3 linked regions of the Arabidopsis thaliana genome follow. The protein of the gene in region 1 purifies or fractionates together with the protein of each later gene. This does not show direct contact. Each region holds a gene or a part of one and is shown on either strand. Other genes may lie near its edges.

The links.
Region 2: the proteins of RRP4 (region 1) and SMU1 fractionate together in Arabidopsis thaliana (co-fractionation; one large-scale study listed by BioGRID). This does not show direct contact.
Region 3: the proteins of RRP4 (region 1) and AT4G32175 fractionate together in Arabidopsis thaliana (co-fractionation; one large-scale study listed by BioGRID). This does not show direct contact.

The regions. Positions count from the first base shown.
Region 1 is NC_003070.9:821,424-828,292, reverse strand, and holds RRP4 (ribosomal RNA processing 4), read right to left. Parts: upstream 3,777-6,869; 5' UTR 3,641-3,776; coding exon 3,480-3,640; intron 3,403-3,479; coding exon 3,301-3,402; intron 3,192-3,300; coding exon 3,146-3,191; intron 3,041-3,145; coding exon 2,951-3,040; intron 2,872-2,950; coding exon 2,806-2,871; intron 2,707-2,805; coding exon 2,638-2,706; intron 2,549-2,637; coding exon 2,114-2,548; 3' UTR 1,894-2,113; downstream 1-1,893. Other genes in the region: AT1G03365 (RING/U-box superfamily protein), read right to left, coding at 1-1,111; AT1G03350 (BSD domain-containing protein), read left to right, coding at 4,047-5,459. UniProt on the Arabidopsis thaliana protein: Non-catalytic component of the RNA exosome complex which has 3'->5' exoribonuclease activity and participates in a multitude of cellular RNA processing, maturation and degradation events.
Region 2 is NC_003070.9:27,722,024-27,730,531, forward strand, and holds SMU1 (transducin family protein / WD-40 repeat family protein), read left to right. Parts: upstream 1-2,967; 5' UTR 2,968-3,035; coding exon 3,036-3,061; intron 3,062-3,572; coding exon 3,573-3,783; intron 3,784-3,873; coding exon 3,874-4,026; intron 4,027-4,474; coding exon 4,475-4,523; intron 4,524-4,766; coding exon 4,767-4,850; intron 4,851-5,002; coding exon 5,003-5,106; intron 5,107-5,241; coding exon 5,242-5,328; intron 5,329-5,425; coding exon 5,426-5,479; intron 5,480-5,844; coding exon 5,845-5,940; intron 5,941-6,103; coding exon 6,104-6,228; intron 6,229-6,474; coding exon 6,475-6,601; intron 6,602-6,699; coding exon 6,700-6,759; intron 6,760-6,857; coding exon 6,858-6,965; intron 6,966-7,059; coding exon 7,060-7,160; intron 7,161-7,302; coding exon 7,303-7,354; intron 7,355-7,600; coding exon 7,601-7,699; 3' UTR 7,700-8,008; downstream 8,009-8,508. Other genes in the region: AT1G73710 (Pentatricopeptide repeat (PPR) superfamily protein), read left to right, coding at 1-2,142; EIL3 (ETHYLENE-INSENSITIVE3-like 3), read right to left, coding at 8,411-8,508. UniProt on the Arabidopsis thaliana protein: Auxiliary spliceosomal protein involved in splicing of specific pre-mRNAs that affect multiple aspects of development. Required for proper accumulation of SMU2.
Region 3 is NC_003075.7:15,532,188-15,538,102, reverse strand, and holds AT4G32175 (PNAS-3-like protein), read right to left. Parts: upstream 2,670-5,915; 5' UTR 2,549-2,669; coding exon 2,498-2,548; intron 2,415-2,497; coding exon 2,340-2,414; intron 2,204-2,339; coding exon 2,117-2,203; intron 1,742-2,116; coding exon 1,685-1,741; intron 1,304-1,684; coding exon 1,211-1,303; intron 1,101-1,210; coding exon 1,028-1,100; intron 944-1,027; coding exon 868-943; intron 780-867; coding exon 566-779; 3' UTR 501-565; downstream 1-500. Other genes in the region: PANK2 (pantothenate kinase 2), read left to right, coding at 1-31, 131-202, 287-379; CYP96A2 (cytochrome P450, family 96, subfamily A, polypeptide 2), read right to left, coding at 2,811-4,331; AT4G32160 (Phox (PX) domain-containing protein), read right to left, coding at 5,211-5,474, 5,665-5,871.

The sequences.
Region 1 (6,869 bases):
TTCTTGGCACAAATTCAGAAGATGATTTGACTCTTTTCTCTAAAAGGAAGCTGCCAACTGATGCAAACTTTGCCGCCTTATAGCCACTGCCTTTGCTGTAAGTCCTAATTTTTTCCACACATGATTTTTGCCGAAGCATTGCTATCTCTTTTTTAGTACGGCCTTTTCGACAAGATACCAATTTTTCATCAGAGACTAGAGTAAATGATGTACTTCTCATGCCTTGACAAGAAACAGTGCTACCCGAGCATACTTCTTTTCCTGGTGTTGTTCCACTAGACTGAGTTTTTTTGGAGTTCGGTGTATTTGGGAAGTTTCCAAATTTGAGTGGCTCATTCCGATTGCTTTGAGGATCGGATTGGGGAGGCTTTGGGTTATCTGGGTCACTAGATTTTGGAGGATTAGATTCAGCACCAAGAGATTCCGAATCAGATAATTTACTTGAACTCACCAATCCATCGCCTTCAGCTTCAAAGGCTTGCAAGACATTCAAGTCGCACATCAAAAGCCTCCACATAGCTTCAACTGTTGATAGGGACGGCCTGACCTCCTTAATAAGACTTATCATTTCTACCAACGTATAGGAAACAAGCTGTTGTAAATCCTCAAACACATAGTCTCCTGAACCAGCACCTTCGTCTCCAGTCTTGAGAGCACTCAAGGTGTTATTGACAATGTTTGACAAAAGATTATTGCCTCCACAGTACAGCCTACAGCGTGATACAGCTTTCAGAACTTCGTCATCGGTGTAGCCTAAATCAATAAGCTGCTTCATTGTATCAAGGAAGAGCGTGAGCAAATTTGACGACAACAATTCTTCAAGATGACAGGCAAATGGGTCATCCCATTCGACAGATTCAGACACTTCAACTTGCAGCTGATTAGAAACTTCCCCAACCGATCCATTTCCGCTCAAATGGTTCTGAGGTTTCAACGAAGGTAACTCATATGGAGGGAATTCAGTGAGGGAAGAAGCATTTGGTTGAGAAGGATCAGCTAACTTTCTCTTGTTTTTCCTTCCTTTTTCCTGAGGTGACACTGTAAAGGCTTCTACTTTGTCAACATTGAGACCACATCCATTCATCTCTTCTTGCTTTTGAACTATACTCATCACCTTTTTAATCCATTACACATGAACGACTTAAGTTAAACACACACAAAAAAGCGTAGAACATAGATACGAAATTGTTTCATATGCAAAAACCATTAAAGTATCAAAGATGTTAGACCAAAATCATCTAAATTATCTGTATACATGCAAAAGAGAGATGATTTCATCTCCTAGTTGTAGCTTTCAGAAACGTGATTCAATCGCCTAACTAATGCAATCCCAGAAATACGCCAAAAAAAAAAAGTAAACTTTTTGCCTAGTAAATGTACAGAGATTCCTCAAATCTAAAGCGTACTACTTTCTGATTAAGTGCTTAATCGCAATGCAATTCAGAACCGTTACTGAATCGAAATTAATTAAAAACCCCAAATAATCGCACGATCATTCAACCCACAAACAATCACGAATACACCAAAATGGATTTAAAAAAGGCCGTAAACTGACCTTCAACGAAGACAATAGCGACTTTAAGGAGAACGGCGCCGGAACAAAAATAGCGGGAAATAAGATCGGTAGCGACAAACAGAGAGTGAGAAATCGAAGAAGAAGAATATTGTTTTGGGAGTGTGGAGCGAGCGAGAGAAATTGGCCGTAGAACACTGTTTCGTGAATGAGAGAAGAGGTTTGGTAATCGCTGTTATTACTTGGATTCTCATGAGGGTATTTTAGTCATTTCCCAATTATCCCTTCTCCGAGCTAAAAAGGGCAGCGAATCTTTTCTATGTTGTTTCTGCAACTGTAGATCCTTTCACAAAACGAATTTCAGCTACAAAAGTCGAAACCGATAAATTCATGAATGAAAGAAGAAAGCCGTCTCCAAAAGACATAACTCGACTAATCTAATCTGATGTACAGTTAATAGTATCAAACACATCCATCATACTACATATCTCAATCAGATTAAAATTCGAACTTTCAATAGAAGCTGAGTAACAAACAAGACCGAATGATCTAATACACGTTACAAGTCTCTGATACATCAGTGACAAAAAGGGGTAGTTTTCACTTTTTCCTCTTTGTACGTCTTCTTTCAGCTTCATTCTCTGCTACCACAACGTGAAACTCTGATCCAAGCATATCATGTATGTCAATATTCTTTGAGTTACTGAGGTTAACAGTCTCCATGATTACTTCTAGTGTCACGGTGAAGCCTAGATTAGACAAGACACGTATCGCATTCCCGATTCTGCATATGGTTTGTCGAGTCTCGAGTGGAATATGGCTTTGCTCTTTTCCTGTGGAGGAGGATGAGATCATTTCCTCATCTTTCTGATCATCTATTGCCATAGGATCTCTCACTTCGACATGTTCTCCAACCCATATGAAACCATTGCAGCCAATAATCAAATCAATCCCAAGACTTTCTACGTAATGAAAGTGATGTTTGCTTCTCTTAACCAAGTAAGGATCGACCTTCAGAAGTTGTCCCTTCTCGAGCTGTAGCGATTCATGGATTAATCAATGTTCAGAGGAAGAGACTAGCGAAAGGTATAACTACATGAGCATGTGACCAAATGAGAACCAACCTTGCCATACTTCTGACTTCTGGCTTGTAACTGCAAGCTACCATCATGCTGAAAGTTGCGTACTTCAGCCTAAGAGTTTGAACAAACCAAAGAGGGAACCCTTTTAGTCAGGTTGACGTAACTGTTAAGATATGTAAAGATTGGAACATTACTAATCACAGGACTTACACATACGACATCATGCTCTACAAAGATATTCCGCATATTGAGTTCATCCACAGAGGTTCTTCGCCTCTGGCAACAACAATAAACTTATATCATTGAAGCCAAAAGCAATCATCCAAATGGCAAAATATCAAGAATCAAACTGTACCTGAATACCATCAGGCATGTTCATGGAAGAAAGCATCAGTACTCCATCCTGATTGAAGTTGAGCTCCACTCTCCAACGTTTTTGAGCAACCTGAATAAGTAAAGATCAATCCAGTAACTGTGCAATGTGATTGAAACCTTTATGTTACTCACTCAATCCGATTTCAAAAATCCAAACACCAAAACAAAAATCTACCTCAATGACACGGCCTACCACAATATCCCCAACTTCAGGCTTGTACCTAAAACGTAGATCATCAAAACCATCAGTTCTACTTAATCTCAGAGTAGAGAGTCCATTCTATTCACATTTTCTGGGAAACTAAACAAATTCAAAGATCAATCACAGACCTGGCTCGCAAGGTGCGTACATAGACAAGCTTATCCACACGCTCCACTACTCCACAGACCGTCGCGAGCAACTCACCATCGACCTCGGAAGTTCCATGTCCCCTTTAATGAAAAAACCAATCGTGAAAACGCAATTTGACAAAAATTTCAATCCAGAAGGGAGAATGAGATGAAATTACTTGAGGAAGGCATCGTCATGGTTGACGGGAATAGAGTCGGTGACGATAACAGAAGCGTCAGAGTTAGCCGACGACGACAGTGATTGAAGCCGCTCGATTGCTCTCTCAAACCTAACCTTCTGCGTCTGGCTCAACGGTAACTGTAGCTTTCTCATCACCATCACAGACACTCTCTCTCTTTCTCTCTATTTAGCTCCAGCAACACAACAATGGCGATGCAAAACGAGTTTGGGACTTGGGAGAGAAGAAGAGCAAAAACCTTGACGTTAGTTCCCTTGAATGAATTCTAGGGTTTTGTGTTATTTGTTGGACTAACATATCCAACTTCTGGCCCATTTATAAAACTTCTGGCCCATTAATCTGATAATTGACGCCAAATAAAGTATTATTTATCTTCATTAAAAAAATGGGAAAAAAATTAGACGTCTCTGCAGCGACAAGCTTCAAGTCTTTTGTGATCTTCCTATTTCTGACGCTAATTCGAATCCTTCACTCTTCAAATTGATTCTTTCACGGATCAAACAAATTATCTGAGAGTACCGATTGGTAAGATCTGAGCTTTACGCTATGAATTTCTTCAAATCCGTCTTCACGGAAGACCTAGATCCTCCAGAAACCGAATCCGAATCCGATTCACCGAAACACAGCGAAGAGCATGAACATCCAGAGCAAGAACATCCAGAGCAATCTGAATCTAACGACGACGGTGGATGGAGCTTCGGTGGTCTGATGAAAACTCTAGCCACCAGATCCGAATCCGTGATTGAAACCTACCGACGAGATCTCGAAGAATTTGGCACAGGTTTGAAGAAAGAGATCGAGGTGGCTCAGGGATCGCTTGGTACGGTGGGACATGCGATTGATGAGCTTGGGAACACGGTGCTAAAAGGTACGGCTGAGATTATTGCTCAAGGTAAGGAAGCGATTTTAGCCGCTGGTAATGAATCTGATTCTTCTGATAACAATAGTAGTCAGAGTTTTGGTCGTCGTGATAGCTTCAGTTCGAAACCATATAGTCGTTTCGATGCTCAGATTCGTGCTGTTCAAGGAGATCTCAACACTTACTGTGAAGAGCCTGAGGATTCAGATGATTACAAAAAGTGGGAATCTGCGTTTTCTCTGGATGGAAAAGCTGAGGAGATGGAGAAATTGTTGGAGGAAAATGGTGATATGAAAGGAGTGTATAAAAGGGTCGTTCCGAGTATGGTTGATCACGAGACCTTCTGGTTTAGGTATTTCTATAGGGTTAACAAGCTCAAGCAAGCTGAGGATTTAAGGGCTAATCTTGTGAAACGAGCCATCTCTCTGGATGATGAAGAAGAATTGAGCTGGGATATTGATGATGAAGAGGAGAGCAGCGAGAAAGTTGTTGAAGCTACCAAAGATGTTTCAAGGTTGAAACTTGAAGGGAATGATGGTATGGGTGGTGGAGATGTGAGTGAAACTGTGAAAGATGAAGTGGAAAGTACATATTCAGTGGCTAAAGTGAGCACGCAAGATGAAGTGACAAGTGCAGATTCAGTGACTGAAGTGAGCAATGTTGGTTTGAAGACAGATAAAGATTCTGAGGAAAAGAAGGAGACTGATAGTGAGGAAGTTCCAGAAGAAAAATCATTTGTTGATGCTGCTCCTCCTGCGTCTGATGAGGCTCCAATCCAAGATTCTGTCAAACCAACATCTGATGAGGCTCCAATCCAAGATTCTGTCAAACCAAAATCTGATGAGGCTGCTCCATCCCAAGACTCAGCTAAACCAGATGTGGCTGCTTCTTCATCAACTCAACAACCATCTGAAGAGGATTTGGGATGGGACGAGATCGAGGATATGAGTAGCATAGATGGTAAGGAAACGAGTCGGTCTGGTGGTAGTCCAAACAGAGCTGAGCTGCGTAAACGTCTGAGTGCTGCAGAGGAAGATGAAGATTTAAGTTGGGACATTGATGAAGATGACGAAGAAGAATCATCATCATCCAAAGCTTAATGTTAGTTTTAAAGTGGTGTGCTTTCTTACTTTTGCCAATCCTTTTACTTGTTTTTACAAGTTTCTGGCGCTTTGCCCCCATTCTTCAGTTGTTTTTCTCTTCAACGTTTCTATTTTACATTGATTTGAAAATATGTTTTTAAATTTTACTTGAGAAGGTGGTTTGAGGAAAGTTTGAATATATTCATCTTGCGATAGTCATTCTCTCCAGTTATTTTGAGTATATCAATCAACTGACCCCTGCGAATTCGGAGCTTTAATTGTGTCAAAATTAATCTCAATTTCTGTCCTTTGTGAAGAACCAAAAAAGTTAAATATTACAAATTGTAAAACTTTTAAAATTAAAACTTCTTAAAACGTTTTAATATTTATAATTTTAAAACTCTTATGAAGTTTTATATAATATATATATTTAAAAATATATTAATACGGGACGATATAATACAATATATTTAAAACTTTTTTGAAGTTTCAAATATTATATAGATTTGAACTTTATAAGAAAATGACAAAATGATGTTTAATTTCACAGAACTAGGATATATGGTGAGACGGTTTGGATCAATATTAATACGGAATGATATACTATGGTAAAATTCTAAAATTAAACAAAATTTACAATATTAATACAAAAAATAACTTAAAATTTCAGAAATTTAGTTATATAAATCATTTCGAGATGTATCATACATAAAAAAAAGCAATAGCATATATCTATAAATCATCTTTAAAACAAAAAAATAAAAATTTTTGAGAAAAATATAGGCTCGTTGTGTACTTCTTAATATGTTTATCATTTATAAATACTATTAACTAAAATAAAATCTTTAACTTGTTAACAAAAATATAAATACGTTGTGTACCCGGATGAATATCTAGTTATTAACAAAACTGTACCATTTGTTTTGTAGAATTTTACTTATTATTTTATTTTTTGGACCAAACCAACTTATTATTTATTGGCATGTCTAGTTAGGGAAAATGTTTCAATTGAACATGTACCGTATGTGTGCATGTATAAATAGAAATTTTATGATTGGATTTTAATAATGCAACGAATCGATGTGAAACTATTAGTGTAAAACCACAATCGACGTCCTTTGAGAATTTACTGGTAAGAAGAACACAGAAAAGGATAGAAAAGGATCTGGATGGATCCAAGAGAAACCCTCGCGTGAGTAATTAACCCTCACTTAAACCCCAATCACCATTTCAAGGCGAGAAAGCAAGTTGTTTCTTGAGTAATCCAAGTTGTTTCTATTTTGCGATTTTAACGGGTCAAAGATTTGCTCTAAGGGAAGGAGGTAGAACAGTTGGAGCCGGTGTGGTATCAAAAGTGATGAGCTAAGTCGCTATAGCAGATTTAAAAGTTCTTCAAACGAAAAAACACAACTGTTCTCTAGTATCTAA
Region 2 (8,508 bases), about 27 Mb from region 1:
GTTGGTGCAAGGAATCCTATTGAGAAAAGTCTGCATTTTGCATCTGGTTCAGACTCTTCTCCGAGGAAGCCAAGGTTAACTTCCACCTTCAACACTCTGATTGATTTGTATGGAAAGGCAGGTCGTTTAAACGATGCTGCTAATCTCTTCTCGGAGATGTTGAAATCTGGAGTACCTATAGATACTGTAACGTTTAACACGATGATACATACTTGTGGAACTCATGGGCATTTGTCAGAGGCTGAATCCTTGTTGAAGAAGATGGAAGAGAAAGGGATATCCCCTGATACTAAGACATATAATATCCTTTTGTCTCTTCATGCTGATGCTGGGGACATTGAGGCAGCTCTTGAGTACTATAGGAAAATTAGGAAAGTAGGACTTTTTCCTGATACTGTAACTCATCGAGCTGTTCTTCATATCTTGTGTCAGCGGAAAATGGTTGCAGAAGTTGAAGCTGTGATAGCTGAGATGGACAGAAATAGCATTCGCATTGATGAGCACTCTGTTCCTGTTATTATGCAGATGTATGTCAATGAAGGTTTAGTCGTACAGGCAAAAGCTCTGTTTGAGAGGTTCCAGTTGGATTGTGTGCTTTCGTCAACGACACTTGCAGCAGTTATTGATGTCTATGCTGAAAAGGGACTGTGGGTTGAAGCGGAGACTGTGTTCTATGGGAAAAGAAACATGTCAGGCCAGAGGAATGATGTTTTGGAGTACAATGTCATGATCAAGGCTTATGGTAAGGCCAAACTTCATGAGAAAGCACTTTCTCTCTTCAAAGGGATGAAGAACCAAGGGACTTGGCCTGATGAGTGCACTTACAATTCCCTATTCCAGATGCTTGCTGGGGTTGATTTAGTGGACGAAGCCCAGCGGATCTTGGCTGAAATGCTGGATTCGGGCTGTAAACCTGGATGCAAGACCTATGCTGCTATGATAGCTAGCTATGTGCGGCTTGGCCTGTTGTCTGATGCAGTTGACCTGTACGAGGCAATGGAAAAAACAGGGGTGAAACCGAATGAAGTTGTTTATGGTTCCTTAATTAATGGGTTTGCTGAGAGTGGAATGGTCGAAGAAGCGATTCAATACTTTAGAATGATGGAAGAACATGGCGTTCAGTCCAATCATATCGTTCTGACTTCCCTTATCAAGGCTTATAGCAAAGTGGGGTGTCTTGAAGAAGCTAGGAGAGTGTATGACAAAATGAAGGATTCAGAAGGTGGCCCAGATGTTGCTGCATCAAACAGCATGCTAAGTCTGTGTGCAGATCTTGGCATAGTTTCTGAAGCAGAATCCATTTTCAATGCTCTCAGAGAAAAAGGCACATGTGATGTTATTTCGTTTGCAACAATGATGTACTTGTACAAGGGCATGGGCATGCTCGACGAGGCTATTGAAGTGGCTGAAGAAATGAGAGAGTCTGGTCTACTAAGTGACTGCACTTCATTTAATCAGGTTATGGCTTGCTACGCTGCTGATGGGCAGTTAAGTGAATGCTGTGAACTGTTTCATGAGATGTTAGTTGAAAGAAAGCTCTTGCTGGATTGGGGAACATTTAAAACGCTCTTCACGCTCTTGAAGAAAGGTGGGGTGCCAAGTGAAGCTGTGTCGCAGCTACAAACCGCATACAATGAAGCTAAACCACTGGCAACACCAGCAATCACTGCAACTCTGTTCTCAGCCATGGGTTTGTATGCATATGCGCTGGAATCATGCCAAGAGCTCACAAGTGGTGAAATTCCTCGCGAGCATTTTGCATACAACGCAGTGATATACACTTATAGTGCATCAGGAGACATTGACATGGCCCTAAAGGCATACATGAGAATGCAGGAAAAAGGTCTAGAACCAGATATTGTCACGCAAGCCTACCTTGTTGGGATATACGGGAAAGCGGGAATGGTGGAAGGTGTGAAGAGGGTACATAGCCGGCTGACGTTTGGGGAGCTTGAACCAAGCCAATCGTTGTTTAAAGCAGTTAGAGATGCTTATGTGAGTGCAAACAGACAGGACTTGGCTGATGTGGTGAAGAAAGAGATGAGCATTGCTTTTGAAGCTGAAAGGGAGTGTAGTTCAAGATCTGGAGAAGAAGAAGAAGACGATGAAGAGGAAAATTCTGAAGAAGACGAGGCATTTTGAAGTGTAGCCACAGATGTATGTAAGAAATATTGTAGAATATAGGATTTAGTGGAAATGGACTGTACAGTTTCACAGAAGCCAAAGGAAATATGCATACTTAAGCCTCAGATTGATCTCTGGTAAAGAAATGTGTATCTTAAAACTGTTATAGAAAGAAAAAAAAAGGTTCCACAGGGTCAAATCTATAAAAGCGAGCACCTTTGGCTATGGTTTTGGTAGAGGAATTAGCATACGCTCCTTACAACAATAGATTGATTTGCATCATCGGGTTGGTCTTCTGTTGGTTTTGGTCTCTGGATTGAACATCTTTCTCCTGTCTTGCTTGCTCTTATTTTCAATTGTATAGCATCAAAGCCCATGAAAAGAGCCAGATGTTCTGGAATTGATTCCAATTTGGAATCTTGTCAGTTACTGGTGATGAATATCAACATGGAAGATATGAAACAGAGTAGCCAGCAAATTCCTTCCATTCGGAACAAAGAGTCTCTCAGCTTCAGTCAAAGTATATCAGTTATTGATCTCAAGAAAGTAATAGTAGTGAGCAATGAAGATGATGATGGAGCTCTAGAGTTGAAGAACAGAGGAGTGGAACGAACCAGTGGAGAACTCTTGAAGACCACAGTGTCAATGTGTTTATTGTTGTCTTTGTCTTTCTCTAAAAGTTGTAAAAAAAAAGGGTGTGAAGCTAAAGCTAAATGGTATGTAAGCAATGTTTTGCAATTTTAAATTTACAAAATAACACTCGGAGTTTCTGAAAGTTTAATTTTGACCCATAATATTTGATATTTGAGGCATTGTCCTGGAATTAAAACCAAATTGAAACTCCTTCGCGTGTGTTTTCTGCTGCATTTTTACCTCTTAGCGTCTCCGGCGAAAACCCACTACGACTGAGTATGGCGCTCGAAATCGAAGCTCGAGAGTAAGATTTCGCTTTCTCTTACAAACCCTAGTTTTCGTTTAGTGTCACTGATATGAATTGTGCTCCAAGAACCATCGTTTACGAATGCTCAGATGGATCTTAGGTTACATGTTTGGAGAAAACATCTTGAATGTTGGTTTTTTTATATCCTCCATACTAAAGTTGTGGTTTTTAAATCTACCCATAATTTGTTTTAGCTTGGTTCTTCTAAAGCTAATTGCTTCTGAATATCTAGATTCCTCCGTAGCTATTCTTCGTTTAAATTAACGTCGTATACGAAAATTTGAGGGAGATCATCGTTAGAGTGTTTTGATTCTTTGCAATGCGTCTCGAGGAAAAATCCAATTTGTATAAATTTGAACTCTTGTTAATTCTCGGCTTGGATTGAAACCATTGACAGTATTATTAGCCATTTTGTTAGTAATATTGGATGGAGAACGTTTTGATGCTATATGTCAGCTTTGTGTAGATCTTCATCCCTAATAGCTCTCTATTGTGTTGAATGTCTCAGTGTAATAAAGATTATGCTTCAGTTCTGCAAAGAAAATTCCTTGAATCAGACATTCCAGACATTACAAAGCGAGTGTCAGGTTTCCTTGAATACAGTAGACAGCGTCGAGACGTTTATTTCTGATATTAATAGTGGAAGATGGGACTCGGTACTACCTCAAGTTTCCCAGCTTAAACTTCCCAGGAATAAACTTGAAGACCTTTATGAACAGGTTTGTTCTTTTACTCTGTGAAATGTAGAAGTGTATAAAAATAGTGATTGTCATTGTAAGTTTTGTTTATTTTCGGGGTGATTTTTTCAGATTGTATTGGAGATGATAGAACTTCGAGAGTTGGACACTGCCCGAGCTATTTTGAGACAAACTCAGGTGATGGGTGTCATGAAGCAGGAGCAAGCAGAAAGATATTTGCGGATGGAGCATCTTCTAGTCAGAAGCTATTTTGATCCGCATGAGGTATGGAAACTATATTATGCTCGACTATTCAATATCACGTTGGGTGTTGCTTTTGTTGTTGCTGTGTCACCTAAGCATGGTTGTCCGCAACTGTTCAACAGTTCAAACAATGTTGCTATATCTGTTATCTCTTGCATTTTCTGTACTCTACTTGCGACTTTTGATATCTTTCAAAATCTTAAGTAGAACCAGTGAGCGGTTAAACATGAAGTTGTTTCTAGATGAGGGTCTCAAAGTATAACACATGCTCGTATTTCTGAGTACAAAAGTATCTTTACATGTTACTAGCTCTTTTACATGTTGATGGATTTGACTTTTCTATCTGATTAGTCTTTTGAGGTGTATTGTCTCCTAGTCATTGTTCATGTTATGCACAAAGAGTGGCGTTTTTCATGTAATCATTTCCTTGTGATAATCATGGTTTGCTAATTTTACCTTTGTTTCTAAGGCTTATGGAGACTCAACTAAAGAAAGAAAACGGGCACAGATTGCTCAAGGTTGGCCATTTCTTCTTTATTTTCTACAATAACAATTTTCTTCAGTTATTGTATGATTAATTACCTGAAGGAACCAAGTGATGTTCTGGAATACTCTCTCTATTGCATGCTTAAATATTATTATGACATGAAAAGAAGTTATGACGAGAACTTATTTCCTGTTTAATGGTTATAGAGTTTTTGTTTTCTCTTGCTCAGTATGTACTCAAGGTTCACTAATTGTTTGTTCTCCTACTCGATCAGCTGTGGCTGCCGAGGTTACCGTGGTACCACCTTCACGGTTAATGGCTTTGATAGGTCAGGCTTTAAAGTGGCAACAACATCAAGGTGATTATCTAAGGAACTGTGGATGCTACCAAACAGTTCTGTCAAACTTCATCTCGTTTTCTTTTACTTTTTTGCCTACATTACTAATATATCAATGGAATCAACATATGTACCCTCTCTCATTTCCTAAAATTTACATACACTTGTGTCAGGCCTGCTCCCTCCAGGAACACAGTTTGACCTCTTTCGTGGGACGGCAGCTATGAAGCAAGATGTAGAAGACACACATCCTAATGTTCTTACTCATACCATAAAGGTTCATATTCACACTTTAATAGCTTCTTTAGCTTAGTGGTCTATGATCTGTTGCTCATGATTATTTTGGGTTTTCTCATCAGTTGAGTTCTTGTCTAATTTTCATATCTTTTTCCTTGTGCTGGTGCTGGTGCAGTTTGGTAAAAAGAGTCATGCAGAATGCGCTAGATTCTCACCAGATGGACAGTTTCTTGCATCTTCTTCTGTGGATGGTTTTATCGAGGTGAGTTGATCCGGAATCTGTATGTATGATAATACAAGTTATTAGTCTTTAAAATAATTCTGTGACTAGGATTGCTCAGACTTGAAAAGCATTACAGGTATGGGATTACATAAGTGGAAAGCTCAAGAAGGATTTGCAATATCAAGCTGATGTAAGCTCTCATGTCTTCTTTTCATTTTTTAATTCTAACTCAGTACGGGGTCAGATGAGCTGTTAGTACATTTTAATCAAATGAAAATAATCCTTACTGCATCTGATTATTGAACGTGTGACAAGTCTGTGAGAATGATATGGTGGATTACTTTTTGCTTTTTATTCCAAAAATGTCGCCCATGAGATTCCTGAAGCACCAAGTATATGGTGGATTACTGTTATCTTTGAATTTTAATTTTTTCTCCAATGTAACTCCTAAAGCACCAAGTATCTCGTCTGAGACTTCCTGGTATACAAAATATCAGTTTTGGATAAAGAGTTCCCATTCCATCCTCTTTACTTACTATGATTAATTTCTGACAGGAATCTTTCATGATGCATGATGATCCTGTCCTCTGCATAGACTTTAGCAGAGATTCAGAGATGCTTGCATCTGGGTCACAAGATGGAAAGATTAAAGTAAGTTCCAGCTGCATATGTTTCCTTAAAGTTGAATTTTTTGTCTGAAGATAGACTATTGCGGCAGTTTGGTAGATATATCTTCTTCCTCTCATTGGTCCCATATGTATTCTGATTGAATACAAATAGAAAAACTAGACTTAGATGCATGTCACTTTTGCAGATCTGGCGTATAAGGACTGGTGTATGCATACGTCGTTTTGATGCACATTCCCAAGGAGTTACAAGTCTTTCCTTCTCTCGGGATGGAAGCCAATTACTGAGTACCTCCTTTGACCAAACTGCAAGGTTTTATTAGTTATATCTTTATTTTTTTATTTTGTACTTGCGATATGAATCTCGTCCTATCAAAAACTTGAGGCTTTATATTTCTTTGATGGTAGAATATTCTTTTAACTTTTGATTGCATCTTTTTTCTTCTTGTTTTTGTTAATATTTTCCTTTTCATTTGGTAGTTATGTAAGTTTATTGGTAGAGCTTCTAGTCGAATATAATATCAAATTCTTATTATATATTTTGCTTTATTTTATGCAGAATCCATGGTTTGAAATCTGGGAAATTGTTGAAAGAATTTCGTGGTCACACATCTTATGTAAATCATGCCATCTTTACAAGTGATGGAAGCCGTATTATCACTGCCTCCAGTGATTGTACAGTAAAGGTAAATTCTTCGGCTTTGGCTGTCAGCAGTATCATTGTTTCTCATTTGGACTCTCTGCCCCTTCTGCCGTGTAATAACAGTCTTGTTTCCTTGCACAGGTCTGGGATTCTAAGACGACAGATTGTCTACAAACATTCAAGCCGCCACCTCCGTTAAGGGTATCTTTTCTTATACAGATTTATGTACATCTTGTAATACTTTTTCTGATCTTCTGTGGCAAACTCTTTGGTTACCAAGTCTGAATTTTGAAATATAGGGAACTGATGCATCAGTCAACTCTATTCACTTGTTCCCCAAAAACACAGAACACATTGTTGTGTGCAACAAGACATCATCTATATACATTATGACACTCCAAGGACAGGTAAATTTCCAGCAACGGTCTCCTGCAAATCAGTGTCATTGTCATGCCAAAACTAAGATTGTTCACATGCTTCTATATTGGAATCCTTTTGCAGGTTGTGAAGAGTTTCTCATCCGGTAATAGGGAAGGAGGAGATTTTGTAGCAGCATGTGTATCTACAAAAGGAGATTGGATATACTGCATCGGCGAAGACAAGTAACACTCTAACCTCCTATATCTATCGTTTTATTTTTGGATAAGTTCCACGAGTTTGATTTCAAAGGATAATCTTATGGTTCCTTTCTTTTCGGGTTTCATCTTCTGCCTTTGATGTTCGTAATGGTGTTTGCACCTACAGGAAACTGTACTGCTTCAACTATCAATCTGGTGGACTTGAGCATTTCATGATGGTAAGTTTATATCCGTAACAGACATGCTCCAAAAGATTTTGGATGTTGGAAATTTGAAAGTTGCATTTGAGACAAACACATAACAGTAACTCACTAGAGTAATGAAGTCCCTTGTGTGTTATAATGTTTGATTCATCTGTTCTCCATTTTAGAGCTCAGATTATCATCCTCTCTCTCTCTCTCTTAATACTTATCTTAGTTGTCTTTTATTAGACCTGGTTTCTGAATAGTTTATGCTTATGACAGGTGCATGAGAAGGATGTGATTGGTATAACACACCACCCGCATAGAAACCTCCTTGCTACCTATAGTGAAGATTGCACTATGAAGTTATGGAAGCCCTGAGTTTTCTCATCATCAAGTCTTGTTTTCTGTATGATTAGTCTGTCTTTATTTGATTTGCACTCTTCTCGGGTTAGAACTAGTGTAATGTGAAACCATCTTTGCAAAGATCTCAGCCATTTTGGGAACACTACCCACAGACTCTAAAACCAGCATTTCAGATTTTAAGACCGTTTCACCTGGCCTTGAGCCTTGTAGTAGTTTATTTAACAACGTGTCTCCTTCCTCTTTGACCTTCCCAGCCAGTCAACTCCCATATACTTTTTAGTCTTAGGAAAGAATAAAGTCAAGCTCAAAAATATATAAAAAAAAATGAAAACTTGGGAAGTTCAAAAGAAACAAATAATGATTCTCTTAACTTGATGAATTACTCACAGGTAAATTTACAAATGATGATACGCTAACTGCTTTCCCTAGAGACCATTACAACGGGCAAAGCAGTTCTTCTGGCAACTTATTCAAAAGGAAAATTGTTTCTCTTAACAAATCTAAGAAAATATTATAAGAAAAAAAGAGGAAGAATATAAGATCAGAAGAAATGAAGAAGAGAAAGTAACTGTACTAGCCAGACTATTGCCATGTCCTTTTGAACCTACAAAAATAACAGTAAAACAAAATACATCAAATCTATAAACTAAGATCAAATATATGAGATGGTGTTGTGTAATAAAAAAAAAACTTACTATGTAATCTCCCAAAAAAAATGGCAAGACACTAAGCTCCAAACCATGAGAAATCATCACCAAAACCACCATAGTCAAAGTCCAAGTCAGTCAATGGAGACAGAATGCCACTCTGATACTGAGGCAACT
Region 3 (5,915 bases), on another chromosome or scaffold:
GCTTGCAGCCGCTGCCAAAGACGCTGATCTTGTATCTACAAAACCTTCTCTGTTTTCTACCTGACATAAACTTCAAACACATCAAAAAAGAGAAGCTTTGTTCTTTATTTGATGTTTAACAATATTGCAGGTTGTCTTGGAAGGTATGGGAAGAGCACTTCACACCAACTTCAACGCTCAATTCCAATGCGAGGCTCTCAAGGTTTAAACCTCACTTGACAGAAAATTTCAGCTCTAGAACTGTTATTGAAACTTTTGGCTGAAACCTTCTCTTCCTTTTTGGCAGCTAGCAATGGTTAAAAATCAGAGATTGGCTGAGAAGTTGATAAAAGGAAACATATATGATTGTGTATGCAGATACGAGCCTCCCTCGCTTTAACAATGTTATGTATCATTTCTTCAACCTTTAGACTACTGTTGTATACAGATTAAGCATTCGTCATGTGGCATATGTATTTTTATTTAGACTACACTTTTACTGTATAAAATTGTATTTGAATGAATCAAAATCACTTGCTATAAAGAGCATCATGAGGGTTCAGTTACATTTCAAGAACAATAACGTTTAGTCTGAAATTATCGCGAGCAATTTCTCAACCATGATTCTCTGCTGAGTCCCACTTAGAGATTCCGAGTTCATTATTGCATTGGCCACGATAATGACTATACGTGGAGCTGTCGCATTTACCCAAACTCTGCCATTTAAGCCCACAGCTATCTCGAACGAGAGTTTCTTTCCAAGAGCCTCAATGACCGGGCGCGTTGGTGAATTCAACAGCCTATAAGAGATGAGAAAGTAAAGTTGTAATGGCGAAAGAAGATAGATAAAGTATAAGGAGACATTTTTTATGAGGAAGTATATCTCACATTCTTGAAAGACCAGTTGAAGTTTCAAACATGAAACCATCTCTCAAGGGTCCAAATAATGCAGCTTTCCCACTAGCTAATACATAGAAACAAGAGACAATTAGTTTAAAAGGGATTAAGAGAAGCAGCACTGTTTTAGCCTCCAAAGCTTTTAACTTACCCTCGGTACAAGACAGCTCCGGATTCATTCCTATGTTTGTCTTGACAACCCGGAGATAAAGCAGAGTGCCTACCTGTTTAGTACACAAAAATTTGAACATTCCAGAAACAATCAATTCATAGAGAATGTCATATCCCAAATGAGAATTCAAGAGAGCTTCCTGAGTCATCAGAATGTACATGCCTCAAACTTGGGAATATTTCTTCGTGTTCCTCCTTCGAATGCAAGAACTGGCAAAAGTGCTAATTGAGGTCCTTTAATGTCCACCCAAAAATTCTGCAATGACATGATGAGTAAAAGAAACAATTCAGTACTTACTAAGGCGATGTTAGTTCATGCAAGAAAGCTTAACTGCAGCTGATAATTTAAAAGTCAATTAACATTTGTTTGTCCAATAATGGTATCAGTTTTCTTCTGATTTTAGACCATAACTTCAATACTCCCACCTATTTATTTACTGATCCAAGACCATCAACAAACAAGTTCACCTTTATTGGCTCAGAGAAATGAGGACTGAAGTCGCGGAAACTGACAAACATATATTTGTATCGTATTTGACAACTAAAGTATAATAAAATGCTTTCAGAGATGACCAGTCTGAGAGGGATCCAAAAACAACACAAGAATCTATACAAGCAATGATTTCAAAGGACTTACATCTGCCCTAGAATCGACCACGATTCCAAGAACATGATCATCAGGGCGAGGTATATACTGCAAAAAAAAAACATAATAACAGAGTCAGCAACAAAGAGAACGAGACTTACATAGATAATTAACAAAACAATATTCTACTAGAGTTTTGAAAACCAAAAATGGTAAATTGTCTTATCAAGCCAGATGTATATGATCAAATAACTAGGGAGAAAACTAGCAAGAATGATCCACAAAAGCATCAAATTGTCAAAATGCTACAAAAGGCAAATCTTCAATTCTTCATGATGCAATTGTGCCAGGTTATTTGTTACTTTTCTACTCATGATTAATCAAGTGGACCTAGTATCCGAGCAGATGACACAGTTATAATCCACAAGAAGCTCAATAGAGAAGCAACCAGAAAGGGAAGATTAGTAAGACCACTGAGCTCACCCGTTTATGAGAACTTTCGAGCCAATACTTATTAGGCTTGGAGTAACTTAATTTGCCAGCTCTCATGGCAGAGATAGCATCATTATCCTAAAATAAGCCAAAAAAACAAACACATGTCAATCTACAATTCCTTTTTAGTTGCAATTGTATATCACAAATCAAGTGCCCACTGGAATAATTGTTAGGATTCAAACAACACATAAGAAAGAGAAGAAGATGAAACCTGAAGAAGGCCACTTCCGAGCTTGATTGTTTGGTTATTCATGTTTGACAAATCAAGAACAACATCACCTGGAACCTAAAAATTGAAAACACCATGCTTCATTGTAACCAAATCGAATCGAAATCATAAAAAAGCCAACTTTTTAGAGATATACGGACCACAATCTGATTTAAGAGGCTTGTGGGAGAGACAGAAACTTTGGCAGCCATGAGTGAGGTGGGTTTTGGAGATAAGAACCCTAATATATGTTAAACTCTGTTAAAGCTTGTTCCTTGACGACGATGAGAACCCAGAAAGGAACAACACTGCACAGTCTCTTCTTTTTTTTGCACGCAAATTTTGAACCAAAACTATACCGAACCAGTCAATATTAGGATTTCGGTTTACTTAAACCGTAAAACTAAAAAAAAAAACTAAGAACCAAATCAAAACCAAACCAAAATGATTTTTTTATTTAATACATGAATAATTTCAAGCAGAACATCTCTTAGTAACAGTGATTTGAAGACCATGTTTCATTGACAATATAAAACCAAGAGCTGGCACAATCTTCTGTCCTTGGAGAACCTTAATGTCGTAGTTTCGTAATATCTCCACTGCCACTATCTTCATTTGAGTCATAGCTAGATGTTTACCTAGACAAGTTCTTGGACCGGCATTAAACGACAAAAACTTGAAGGAAGGCTCATGTTTTATGCCTCCATTCTCCGAAATCCATCTCTCTGGCTTGAACTGCGATGCATCTTCTCCCCAAACCGCTCGCATCCTCCCCAATGCATAAAGACAGATAATAATCTTAGAGTTTGCATCAACTTTATGGCCACTTGGAAGCACATCTGATTTGATTGGAGACTTGCGTCCGAAGGAAACTGGTGGGTAGAGTCTCATTGCTTCACACAACGCACCATGTAAATACACCAACTTGTCTACATTCTCTTGGCTATTTCCTGTTCTTGATAGATCAGTGTTGATGTTGATCTCTTGATGAATCTTGGCTACCACATGTGGATTTTCAGAGAGAAGCCAGAAGAACCAAGAGAGAGCGGTGGCTGTTGTGTCTCTTCCCGCTAGAATGAAAGCTAAGATGTTGTCTCTAAGGAACTTATCGTCACTCGGATTCAAGAGCTTGTACTTGGTCGTGTCTAGCTTTATGAAGGAAGTTAAAAGATCCTGACTTCCTCCATTGGAAGTCCCTTGTGATCTTTTAATCTCTTCTCTCTTGGCTGATATGTATTTGGCACACACGCGGTCAAAAGTTGCATTAGCTTCAGTGAGCTTCTTCTCTTGTCCGAATCCTATCCAGTTTTGCAGCTTCCACAAGAACCTTGGTTTAAAATGCCTATAAAGAATCCCTTCTCCAACATCGTCGAGAGCTTTAGCAAATTCGTCTTCAGGCATTTCAATGGAGAGAGATCTAGGATCAGAACCAGTTACAAGGATGAAAATTGTATCGAAAGTGAACCTCCCGAAGACGCTTTGCAAGTCAAGAGTTGTTCCTTCCTCAGCAAAATGATTAAGAAGGGGAACAAGACCGTACTTGAGTTTACTTGTCATGGTACTCATTGAAAACCTTTGAAACTCTTGACTATGGAGCATGGCTTGATAAGATTTCCTCATATTCTTCCATAGCTCCGAGTCCGTGGTGATGAAACTGTCTCCTAACACATCAAAAACATCTTGGAACTCCGGTCCTTTGATGTAGTTTGAGAAATTTGAGCTCATTATATGATGAATGTTAGCTGGATCAACCGTGAGCAACATATCCATTCCTGTGAACCGCGGTCCTTTGAATGGAAAGGTCAAGTCAGAGGTTTCGAGAATCTTCACGCTGTAGTCGTAGATTCGGTGAAGCGCCTTGAGCATAGCGGGTAGCATCCGGAGAACCGGCCAGTTCCTAGGGTACCGGCCATGAGGTTTCTTGAAGAGAAAGTAATGAAGGATGAGAAAGCAAAGGATAGCTACGGAAACTTGAAGTAAGCTTATTGAAGCCATTGGAGTAAGGCAATTGATAACACACAGTTTGCTGACACAATGAGAACTAAATTTATAAGCATACACTTCAGGGCACAAGTAAGGAGATGCTTTTTAAAATACACACTAAATTTCGTTATATGCACAAACTGCAAAGCACGTTTAATGCATGTATATCATCAAATTAGAAACTTGTATTAAATTGCCAATGACACCTAACTTTTTATTTTTGTGATAATACACCTAAGTGTTTCAATAATTTGAAAACTGTTATAATTGCCCCTTGTAACTTTATCAACTAATCAAAACTTATTGAAACCATTAGAGAATGAGCTGGATTCACGCACATAGACTTTTGAGTGTGCTCTATGAGCGCTAAAGGAAATGTCATTAACTTCTTCATCCTGTCCAAAGATGATGATAAAGGTTTTTAGCATTTAATATTCTCTATCTAGTTTCAGTTTTCTTCCCTCAAAATTGCTTGCTATAAAGAAATGTCTGAAATACCTGGAGAAAGAAGCCACAAATTCTGCTTCAAGAAAGAAACATGCTTTATACTTGAGGACAATGATGATCAATTGACACAATTTGTATAACCTAAATCCTTACAATTCCAACTTTGTTTGCAAGAACTGAGTTCGGATCACAATAAATATATGCAACAGAGTGCAATACAATTATACAACAAACATACTTAATACACATCTTTTTGCCTTATGTACTCTCAAAAGGGTGGTGTCACGTGTGTGTATATATATCGATTACACAACACTCAGCTTCAACTAATTTGCTCCTCCAAGAGACCAACCGTTTTGTATTATAAAGCGACCAGTCCTTTGCTTATAGAGAAAAAAAAATGGCAGTCTATTCTCAGGTCAAAGCGACTATTATTATTATTACCTATCTCTTCAATGTTTCTCTTGATGCTTCATCTTTCTCATCACTATTTTCCTCATTCACATCTTCAGTGGTCTTTACGTCTTTTTGGAGAGCACGGAGCATTGCAGAGTTCACCTGTTTTCTCAATTTCGCATTCTCAACAAAAATGTTTGCCAGTATCTTCCTCAGCTCGTCCTCCATAATTCTTGTTTCAGTATCCATGCTGAGAGTTTTATCGATGTCTTCAGCAGCAGCATTTTCGTCAAACCCAGAAAGTAGCTGAGCCTGAAAATGGTCTAAATCGTTAAAACTTGTAAAATGCACAACGTTACAGTTTTCATTAGTGCAGCGGAAACCTAACTATCCTACACTAATAAGTAATAAATAACTTCATCCTGATGGACATATCGTGAAAAGTAACTCTTATTAGAGGAAACTGATTTTAAATGGCAATAAAGCAGTGATGCAGCAATACCTCCTCAATTTGATCATCAGATATTGACAGTAAACGCAAAACGTCTGATATTGTAGTTGAGTCGTCGACAAAGTTACCGTTTCCATCCATTGACAAATTTAAGTTGTACTCTTTAAGCCGGTCGTGGAGAATTCTGCAGTCACTAAGCAGCTTCTTTCTAGCCGCAACTGTGTTCTCTAGTAGTTTTCTTTCCTCTTGGAGGAGTTTCTGAAAGTGTAACATGTTCCAGTCTCAGTTGTGTTGTCTCTTAC